Linked DNA regions of Drosophila melanogaster. The protein of the gene in region 2 interacts with the protein of the main gene of each other region in a pairwise test. Each region holds a gene or a part of one and is shown on either strand. Other genes may lie near its edges. The genes, in order: CG10154, Larp4B and CG14275.

Region 1 (3,755 bases), about 10 Mb from region 2:
GACTCGCGCTCGAATAATTGTATTTTGCCAACCTTGCGGCCCGAGACGCAGGTGGGCGGTGGGTGGTGGGTGGTTGTGAGGTTGTGTGTTGGACGATGGGTGATTCGCCTGCGATTCGAACGGCGCAAGGACTCGCAGCCAACTGAATGTGTGAATGCAGCTGGGCCAGCGTCGCGCTCGTTTTCACTTTCATGAGTTTCGCAGAGCGCTCTTTCACTTCCCACCGCCCCCACGGATGGTTTTCCTCTTTTTCCTTTTTGCCAACAGACAGCGTTTTGTTTTTGCTTTCTGTATATGTGGCCGTGCCACTCGGTGGGCGAGCGGGTGGTTGGCGTTTGCAACCAGAAGAGCATGAATGGGGTGCTCTGTGGAGCACTCTTTCTCTCTTTTTTGGAAAATAAACACTGTGGCTGCACAGCACATGCGCCGTTTACAAAACACCATTGTGAACGGGCCATCCAATTCAAATTGTAACGTTTTGTAGCAAACATTTTATTGGTAAATTAATTGAATTTATTTTTTTCCATTTCTTACTAGTGGAACTTTCTTGGGATGATAAGAGAGTCTTACACCAAATGATTGGTCCCTTTAATAAATCTTTAAAATAACGACACTAAAAATGTTATGTGCTCTTTTAAAAAACATTTCAGAATAAACAATTTGTATCACTTCTTACATTCACAAAATCTCTTATCATTTCATAAAATCGAAAATCAAAAGCAACAGGTTGTAATTATTTATTTATGAAAACTCAGTTAGACACCAACGAATTCAGGTCTGCGGCAATCCTCCACTTTGGGATCGTAGTAAAGACCCGGAGTGCAGTCTAGTGTGACTCCACGTCCTTCGACGCAGTAATAATATGCATCTCGGCGAGATTTGTGTGGGAAGAAGTGAGTTCCCATAAGGGGACACTTAATGTCAGCACGACGCAGAGGGGTTCGGGAATATGGCAGAATATTCCTGGCTACAGCATCAATCTAGAGATATTTAGGTATAAATAAATAAATTATTAAATTACTCCAGAAGCAGTATAAAATGTACTTTAAACCAATCCAAAACAATCAATTTAAAAATATATATTTGAAATGAAAAAAATCCACTTTCACTTTTTCTACTCACCGTGCAGTTAACATTCTTGGCAAAGTCGCAGCACTTGCAGCTGGGATTGTAGGCCAAGCCAGGAGCACACTGCTGTTCCCACGGATGACCATTGGAACAGACGTAATACTTGCTGCATGATGCCTTACTACCCAGGTAGATGATGTCCTCTGGCTGGAAGGTGGCGGAACAGTCGTTGGCCACACAGTCCACATACTCGGGGAAGTCACAGCGATCCGTGGCGTTGTTGTACTGGAGTCCATCGTGGCATTGGCGTAGCACGGGTTTGCCGTAATAGCAAAGCACGTACTTGGTACAGGTGTTGTCGTAGCAGAAGCTGCTCAATCGGAACGACTCACAGGTGGGCAGACACTGTACCTCCTCCATGTAGGTGCACACTTGGAGAACAGGATCGTAGCCCAGCTCACACGACTTGTTCGGATCGCAAATATCTGGATTATCCTTTGCCAAATCCAAGCAGCTGCCTACTTCCTTAATAGTATTGTCTTAAATACATGGATAGTTTAATGTATTAAAAATATTTTTCATTTGCTTTAAAAACTTATGTGATGTTTTAGTGTATATAACTCACTTTCACACTCGATATATTTGGAGCAATTTCCAACATAGGGCAAATAAACGCCATCCGCCACATTGCCGCAGACATTTATCTGGGTGTTTTCGTACATATCGTAAATATCCTTATCCTGAACATTTAGGCCCTCACCATCGTCGTCTGGACCGGGAGCTACTACAAGATCTTCATCGGCCCGGTTCCGATGAACCATCAAAATGATGAATAGTAGTAGGAGCCCATTTAATAGCCACTTCACTTGGGAAATTACGATTTATTAGGTAAATGAACTATAGGGAATCCCATCGCATGAGCAACTTACTCCTGGATAGTTTGAACTGTGTGCCACAACTGTTTGCTATCAGGCCAGGAAATATTCATTTTATATCGACTCTCTTTCATCGCCTAATGAGTTTTTGCCAATTTACACTTATCAACCAGGTTATTTCGGCACACGACTCCTCTAGAGGAAAACTACGCCATTATTTCTGCAAACATTTCGACTTTCAATTTGTCACCACCAAACTTGGCGATAATAGTCATAGTCGAAATGTTTTAAATAGACTGGTTCCCAGAACCCGTGGATATCGATGAAAAGTGTTTTAATTTCCTTGCACGTGTGGTTTTTTTTTTTATCACTTTAGTGCACGAGTGGTTTAAACATTCAAAGTATTACTGCGCTAGCGATTAAGATATGAAAAGAAAAATAAATAAAATAAAAAATAATTTTATAGAATAATACATTCTATTTGGATTAACTAGGAGCATTTCCTTCCTGTACAACAAATATACATACATATATCTTGAAGAAAATCTTAAACCTAAACTACAACTTAATAATTTCTAGATCTTCAAAGTAATGGGGCTTCCTATCCAAATATTCCAAACACTTGTAACAATTACATCGGATCTTGAGCGATCCGTGGTTCGATGATCAACTGTGACTCATCAATACACGTGTTTCCTAATGGCTGACAGAGGTGTATGTTCCTGAATATTGGCTCTTGTTCACCGAACTTATCTCCGCCAGACGAATTTGAATGAGGAAGAACAATCCAATTACCACATGGAAACATGCATCCACATCCGATAAGATTGGAAATTTGCACGGAATCAAAACAAATCGCAGATTGAATGGCAAGTGAGTTTGCCTATAAATGGAGGGGTTTTTCGAGGTAAGACGATAGTAACCGCAGGAAACCAACCTTGAATAGTGAGTATGAATTGCAGCTATGGAACCGAAATGATCTAACTTGGTTTATTTTCCAAAGTGATAAGTCGCCTGACCCTTTTGGCACTGGTTGCCCTGCTTGGAAGCTGTAGCGCTGCTGATGGCGATGTCAATGTCTGCTCCAATGTGGTCAACAATCTCTTTGTTCCCCAGGTGGGCAACTGTAGCAAGTACTTCCTGTGCATGAGTAAGTCACCAGCACCTGTGGATATCTAGTTCACCGCATTATCATGTTTCTATCCCAGATGAGATAGCTGTACCCCGTGAATGCCCCACGGACTACTACTTCGATGCGAGGGATCAGGAGTGTGTTCCCCTGATGGAGGTCGAGTGTATTGGATCCTGTAAGAACCGTGGTTTGTCATCGTTCTGTTACGATCGCACGTGCACCAAGTACGTTCTCTGCTTCGACGGCACTCCGGTGATCCGTCAGTGCTCCGATGGACTGCAGTACAACGCCCTGACCGATCGCTGTGACTATCCGCAGTATGTCGACTGCGTGGACAATCTGTGCAGCCGGAATAATAATCCGGATGACATCGTTTTCATACCCAGCAAGGCTCGCTGTGACAAGTACTACATTTGCATGGATGGTCTTCCTCAAGTCCAGAACTGCACAAGTGGCCTGCAGTACAATCCAAGCACTCAGAGCTGCGATTTCCCCTCGAAAGTCAACTGCACGGTGCGTGTTTTTTTTTATCTGAAGTTTTCTGGGAGCCACATAAAAACCTATTCATTTCATTCAGGTGGAGAGCCTTCAACGGAATATCCTGCCCTTTGCCCGAGCTCCGCCACGTCTCGCCGACATTGAGTGTCCATCGGAGGGCGCCCACTTTATTGCCCACCAGA
Region 2 (3,755 bases):
GACATTGGGCGATTCACGCAGCACCTCAGTGATGAGATTGATGTCATTGGTTAGCTTTCGCACCAAATTAAATCTGGCCACAGTGTAAATGGGCACATACTGGTCGCTGTCCATCTGGGAGAGCAGGTAGGTGTCGTTTGCCAGGTTCTCCCTGTTTGGAGCGGAATAAGAAGCAATGTCAAAAGGGGTTTGCTGTTGGATTTTGTGTGCCAAATCTCACCTGGAGAAGTAGTACTCAAGTTGGGTGGCCAGCATTTGTTTGAGCTTGTCCAGCGGTATGTTGGGCTCCTCTCCACCAGCTGCATTGTGGCTGCCTTGCTGCGGATCAGCGGATCCATTTGCTGGTAGCTGAACGGGCACTGGGACTTGGACAGGAACCTGGACCGGCACTACAATTTGATGGGGCTGCGGATCGAGTGCAACTAAATTCGTGTTGTTCAGGGCGTCTGTGGTGTAGCAGACCACAGTGCCATCCTGGGTCTGGCCGAGTGCGCCATTCATGATGGCGTACTCGTTGGTGTCCTGGCCCTCCACGACTACTCCGGATGGTCCTACTGCTCCTCCGGAAATTGTTCCTGATCCTCCAGCCGTGGCCTGCGAAAGCGCCGGCTGATGGCCGTAGGTCAGATGCTGGGCGGGATGCGGCGACTGTTGTTGCTGCTGCTGGTGGAGATGCTGTTGGATCGTCTGCTGCTGCTGCTGCTGTTGTTGTTGGTGGGCTACGTGCGTATGGGCCAAAATCTGGGCCTGGTGTGGATGCGCCTGCTGCTGTTGTTGGGCGGGCACAACTGCTGCTTGTGCTGCTGATGCGGTGGCCACTGGAGCAACGGCAACTGGAGGAGCTACTGCTGGAGCGCCTGCGGCGGCGGCGGCTGCAGCTGCGGCTGTGATCAACGGTATGTGGGCAGCGGCGGCTGCTGCGGGTGAGGCTGCAATTTGGGTTGTGGCGCCAAACAGATTAGTTGCTAGCATCGCCGTCTCGACAGGAACGTTGGTGTAGACGGGCGGCTGGATCTTGAGTGCATCTCCGTTCATGTATACATATCCTCCTGCAAGTGGTTTGCACATAAGACGGTTTTTACATTATGGGTGGGCGGGTGATGGGTGGTGTGGTTGGGTTTGTTGTGTGTGTGATATGGTGAGTGTGTGTATAAACAAGGTCAATATTTTGTAATTGTAGACGTAACGGGAAACTGTCGTAATCGAAGGAAGCCAGATGCTGGGAAAACTCTGCCGATTTCGAGCTAATAACAACAAAAAACAAACAAGCGTAAAGCAGTGCCAGCATAAGCGTACACATACGTATGCAAATTTTCGAGCATGTGGGTGATGCATAGGGGGTGGCGCACACGCATGCACGGGTGCTAGTTAACGCATTTTACCAACCTAGGAAGTATTCCATGGTAACGTATGTTGCAATTATCAAGAAATTCCACACAAAGACACAGTCGGTTATTTCGCTTCTCCTTATTTGCTTTTCCTCTTATTTTTTTCTTTTAAATCTATTTTTTCGCTCTTTCGAGCTACACACACACACTTACGCACGCGGCACACTCACACACAGCAGGCACACACAGCAACACACGCACACACGTTGCCACCCAGTCGCGAGAGTGGAAGCGAGAGAGCGATGGAGAGGATGAGAGAGAAAGAGAGCGAGCAGGCGAACGAACGAGAGGAGGAGCTCTTCTTTCTATTTGGAAAATTTGATTTTCACTGCGATATTTCGTACTTCGCCAACTTGCTTTTCCGCGATTCCAATCGCGCTGAATAGCGAGCACTCTCTTTGGCGACGATGGTTATTTATTTATACTGCTTCTGCTGCTTGCGACTTGAAAACACGGCTCCTGCTCCTCCGCCCCTTTTGTACAACATTTTCTTCAACTCTACGTTGCCTTTGCTCGGCCTTCTTCTGCGCTCTTCTTCTTTCCGCTCGCCGTTTCTTTTCTATTTTTTCTTCTTTTCTTGTCGTTTGCAGTCTAATTTTTTTTTCTCGCCTTTTCTTTGCTTTTTGCACACGCAGAGAATGTGAATTGAAAATTGGAAACGACCGAGAGGCAATTGATTTTTTTCTTTTGGCGACTTTTCACACCTCACTTGAACCGCCCGCACCAGCCAGCGTTACGCTTGTCAGTAGCCAATCGTTAGCCAAGTTGACAAATGAATTGTTAAGGTTGTGCCTGGTTTTTTTCACCACCAACTTGTCACGCGAAAAATCCAAAAATTCGACTTCTCATCGTCATAGAAAACTTTCGCCGTTTCGATAGATCGCAAGTCAGGGTTGCAAGCGATTGCAAATACTAAAAAAAAAAAGTAACTCGATTGTCACTAGTTTTTCCTGACAGGTTTTTAAAAGTGCGTAGCATGAGACACGCAAGTCAAGGCATGCGTTCACGCTTTTCGTTAACGATTATTGCTTAAATGGTTATTGCGTTTCAATGTAAATGTAGAGAGTAGCCTGCGGAAGACCGCACAAATACAAGCACGCTACCCAAAAATATCGAACAAAAAATACCAACTGCCTGCGAAGCGACAACCCTGAAACGTGCAAGAACATAATATTGCTAAGCGAAATCCAGCCCACCCGCCCCCTCTCCGACATGTTATCTGCACCATTATTCGCCTATATTCACTTACCACTGGGATGAATGGAAATCCCGGGCTCATCCGCCTGCAGACGGCGATTTCGTGCAGCTGTGACAGCGCTGAGGCGAAAACCACTTGTTAAATTTGGCCGAACGAACAAAATGAAACACCAAGCGTTCCGCGCGTCCACGTATTCTTCACTGAACGTTCTGCTGGCGAATTATCGTTGGGAAATTCGTCAGTTGCAACGCGTCGATTTCGGGGGACGAATTTGCCTACGTTTGACACTCAGATAACTCTTTTTTCCAGCAAAATGCAACACACGCAAAAACTTCGCGCTCCGATTTTTTGTGCCTAAATTAGTGTGACTGCAGAACAGTCTGACAAATGTACCCAAGAACGCCTAAGGTGGTATTCCCCTCGAGGTGTGAAACGTTGCTGAAGCTAAGACAACAACCAAATCAGACGTTCCTGAATTTGAATATTTTTTTTAATATTTTCGTTGACAATAAATAAATGGCCCACCTTTCGTTTTACTATATTTTAATTCAGAATCTTATCCGAATAGCTATGAAATACCAATGGGCGTTTTCTGCGTTACAAGCCAGAAAAACCAATTCGAAATACAAGCATTTATAATTTTTTCGACCCATTATACTACGACAGCGCCCGCACACATTCATTTATTTAAATTGAACATTTAATTTTATTTATAACATTGTTCTCAGTAAATGGTCTATTGCTTCTGTATGTTTATGTTCTATCAAGAGAGTTTGAATAATTCGGAACAAAGAACTTTTCCAAGTTTTTGGGTGTTGTTGCAGAGCTTAAGAATGAAAGAGTGGTATGAAGATTCACACGGTTTGTTCGTTCGACCGCTTAGAAGCCGTGCACCTTCAGCTGATCCGGCTTAGCTAGACCCACCTTCGTCAACCATTGACAGATGTTCTCACGCTGATCGCCCTGGAGCTGCAGAACCTCACCATACTCTGGGTGCTCGATTACAGTGCCATTGCATGCGAATTCCTGTGAATGAATGTAATTAATATGTTAGTGCTTTTCAACCAAATCCACAACCGACGAAGCAATCAATGTTTTAAACAATGTCTTGAATATGTGCAAATGAACTGCTGACCAAATAGATTTCAATAATATTCGCAGTTTCTTCA
Region 3 (3,755 bases), on a different chromosome or scaffold from region 2:
ATTAATGCGAACGGACAACTGGACGCGAGCACCGTCGAGATGAATCTGAAAACTTGTATTTGACTTTTCGAAAAACGTTGATTTTTCAAAAAGCCAGCTCATTGCGAACTGAGAGCCGAGCCGAGCAGATTGGCTTCGGGAGAGCGAAGAGAGCGAGATCGGCCCTAAAGGCAGCAAATGGAAAATATGTGAAAACTTCCGTCACTCGATCGTCTTTACGGGGTCGTTTTATATCAACATATATACCTATGTATGTTAAATACATACATATATGTGCGACTATATAGGGGGATGCTACACAAGGTAGTTTCCACGCCGCATTGATAAGCTCCAGCTTCGGTTGGTTTCAGCTTGGTTCTTAACCCGAATGCAAAACACAGTCCAAATGGAATCCACCGGCTTGAACCAGTTAAGTCCGAATTGTGACGTCACTCGCAAACAGCTCCCAAAAAAAAGTAAATAAACAATGTATGTACTATACAATACTATACTATATATAGCTTTTGAATAGCCACTTACTATGCCTATTAACAAAAGATAACCATTGTTTAAGTAAGATTCCCATATGCAGCATAATATTGGTAGTATAAGCCAATAAAATGCAATAATGGCTAATAGCCATATAACTTTATAACTTTTCATTACTATACAAATAATGTGAATGTTAAGTTTATAAAAACTGACGTACAAATTACCTAGATTTTCCATAAAAAAAGTAATAGCTAATTCATTTGATAGGAAGTTGGAATCTCAAATTCGGGCCAAGATGTCATTGGCTCTGCAATCTTTTCCCATCGAGTGATCGATTTGGTTCCGGTGAGCTGGGTTTTTGCGATAGGAGCACGTTCTGACCGCCATAACATGGACTGTACGAGCTCCATAGAACGGCAGTTCCTTATCAACGGCGCTGATTAGTTAAAACTGGTTCGCACCTCCAAAAACTCAGCTGTGGTGGTTCGGTCTAGTCCGCATCGGTGACGAAGTCAGACTTTCGGACTCAACTTAATTGGGAAAATCAGTGGATTCGTCTTATCTGTCTCTCTTCTAGTTCAAGGCGGTACGAATTTCTTGACTCATCATTAAATGTTTTAAATTTTGCCTGACGTAAGGTACATATCTGTGCAGTGCATTCATTAGGTGTTCGATTCTGCAAACAATGCAACTAATTTTTAATTTCCACGCTGCATTGTGTGAAGCGCCAAGCTAAAGTGAATATGCATATTGCCGCGCTCAGTTGCCGGTTTTAGCCAGTTTGAAGTGGTTCTTGGTCGAAAACAGCTCTCAATGAAAAGTGGAAAATTTCCTTAACTTATTGTGATTGTGTGGGGAAATTTTTGGAAACTAATTTTCCTATGTAATGGTAAAATCTTCTGTTCATAAATTATGAAAGTGAATTTATCTTTTCTTTTATTGTGTTTGCTTGGAAATGAAGAATCTCAAAAAGCAAACTACACAAACTGATCTCAAAAATCTCACTTCTTGCTATCTATTTATTTAATTAAATTAGGAAATACCTTTTTTCTTTTGAAATTTTTTACTGTTTTGTTGCACTTCTATTGTTAGTTTTTGTTTGTTTGACTTTAAGTGTTTAAATTCCCACCGACAGTAGAACCAATCTACTGCAAATTCAACGTGTAACTGAGGTCTGTGAATATGAGATCTTTGTCTTCAGCCAAATGACATTGGTGGGTTCGTATCGAAGTCAGAAATCGGAAATCAGCTGATCTGCGAGCATTATTGGGAGGTCAGACTGGGGATTCGTTTGAAACCAAAAACAAACTGAGGCAAATGAGCCCGATTCTTGTTTGCTGAAACCGGTTTGCCGGATTTTTTTTTTTCTAACAAGTGATTTCTGGAAACGTATCTCTCCTGTTCGCGATTTCAATCGCCAGACTTCATGATTAATTGCGCATAAAATACGAAATTAATGCGAAGCCACGGAACAAAAAAAAAAAAGTAAATAAAGGAAACTTATTTTTTGGGGCTAATGCTCTAATTGAAACAAGGGGAAATTCTCACGGCAAATAACCCATATTTTGTTAGAAAAGCTTTTAGTCGGTTCTTCAACACATTAGAAGCGGTAGCTTAAAAGCTTAAGATTTCAAAGCTTCGCGTTTTAGTCGGACTCAATGTTATTTAAATTTAAACAATTTGTTGCTTAACATGTTAGTCAACATTTTGATTATTCGTACTTTAACCCCAATCCAAAGCGAAAACTCTTTTCTTACTATCGCTATTTATAGTCGCAAACATTGTTTAATGCAATCAATTTAGGGACATCACACTGAGAAATATTTATTTTCTCAATTTTTTATTTAAATAAATTGAAGTTATATTAATAAAAAAATAAAATAAATACACCTAACATTGTAATAATGAATAAAAAAATATATAAAAACGATTTAAGTGTGTCAAAATAAAAGTAAAGTGAAGATAAATGCTTACAAAATATGAGGCTTCCAAAATACTTATAAAAGATCGACTGCATATTATGAACCTTTTTTTTTTTAAGTGTAAGTACAAGCGCGACTGGGAGACAGGGTAACACAAATCTCCCCAAAGGGCAATCTGCCCCCACGGATTCCTCAATTTCGCGCACTGATTGGGGCACAAAAGCCAGGCAAACCGATCTGCAAAAATATATGTACATATCATACATACATATATGTATGTACATATATAGTGCATATAGTGAGTGAAAGAAAGACTTAATTCAATTGACCAGCGTCTTGGGGCAGCAATTTGTGCGACTTTGTGATAAGCAACGTGGCTGGAGCTTCAAGAGGAAGCCTGCGATTAAGCTTAATTAATCCCGGTGGATTTGATTTCTGCTTCTACTGTGCGACTTCTCCGGCTATTCACGTGCTCACGTCCTCCTGATCTCCGGCTATGGATTGAGTGTCTGGACGCCTAGTTGAAATGGCGCTCAGGGTTATGAGTGAATGAGGCGAATAGTCCAGTGCACTGCCTTCGGCTAATTGCAGCTTCTAATTGCGACTACTTAAAAATACATAAATAAAAAGTGAGATGCCAAAATAAGAAGAAACAGAAGTGGAAGTGATTAAGAGCAGATTATTTTAATACAATATGTAAACATGTATATATTTCAAAACACCTAATTCAGGGAGCACGATTAGCTTTTTAATGTATTTGTTTATACAAACATTTTAATAATCTTAGCTTAGAGATCTCATTTCTGAATCGACCTTTAACGGCCAAACAATTGATAGGCAATGTGATGATTATTTGAGTTCATGTTTTAATTTCTACTACAACCTGTTAATATGTGATTAATAATTTTTAATTAAATTAGTACAGCGACGAAAATTGTTTAATAAAAAAACGATTTAATATAAATCAAGTTGAGAACGTTTTTATTCACCTTAAGATGTTTAATGATATATGAAGGACATATGTTTTAATTCTAATAATAATCGAAATGAATGTTTTTATTTTACATTAAGTACGAAATATAATAAAAATCGTTTGAAACCCCATCCCTGCAGACCAGTGTCATTTGAGATACTTTTGTGGCCACACATTCGCATCTCCTGACCCACACACACACACACACACACACATGCAGAGCGTGGAAATCGCAAAGAGGACGCACACTCGAAAGCTTCGCTGCCAAAGCTCCCTTGCTGCAAGCTAAAAACTGAATCCGAGTTTTAGGCTGGGATTGGGTCTTTCTCCCAGCAACCACTAACCACCGACCACCGACCACCACCCACCACCCATCGCCAGCCGATGCG

Evidence for each region.
Region 1: the proteins of Larp4B (region 2) and CG10154 interact in a two-hybrid assay, tested with the Drosophila melanogaster proteins (one large-scale study listed by BioGRID).
Region 3: the proteins of Larp4B (region 2) and CG14275 interact in a two-hybrid assay, tested with the Drosophila melanogaster proteins (one large-scale study listed by BioGRID).

What each region holds. Positions count from the first base shown.
Region 1 is NT_037436.4:13,435,099-13,438,853, forward strand, and holds CG10154 (uncharacterized protein), read right to left. Parts: upstream 2,039-3,755; 5' UTR 1,999-2,038; coding exon 1,998-1,998; intron 1,934-1,997; coding exon 1,694-1,933; intron 1,608-1,693; coding exon 1,123-1,607; intron 981-1,122; coding exon 756-980; 3' UTR 582-755; downstream 1-581. Other genes in the region: CG10725 (uncharacterized protein), read left to right, coding at 2,888-2,888, 2,947-3,093, 3,152-3,588, 3,653-3,755.
Region 2 is NT_037436.4:3,224,171-3,227,925, reverse strand, and holds the start of Larp4B (La-related protein 4B), read right to left. Parts: upstream 1,874-3,755; 5' UTR 1,403-1,873; coding exon 1,387-1,402; intron 1,050-1,386; coding exon 221-1,049; intron 152-220; coding exon 1-151. Other genes in the region: eIF1 (eukaryotic translation initiation factor 1), read right to left, coding at 3,466-3,612. UniProt on the Drosophila melanogaster protein: Probable RNA binding protein. Negatively regulates myc at the protein level, via an unknown mechanism, and may therefore have a role in growth. Has no effect on myc mRNA levels.
Region 3 is NT_033779.5:8,325,343-8,329,097, reverse strand, and holds the start of CG14275 (uncharacterized protein), read right to left. Parts: upstream 1,643-3,755; 5' UTR 1,515-1,642; intron 51-1,514; exon of another isoform or gene 1-50.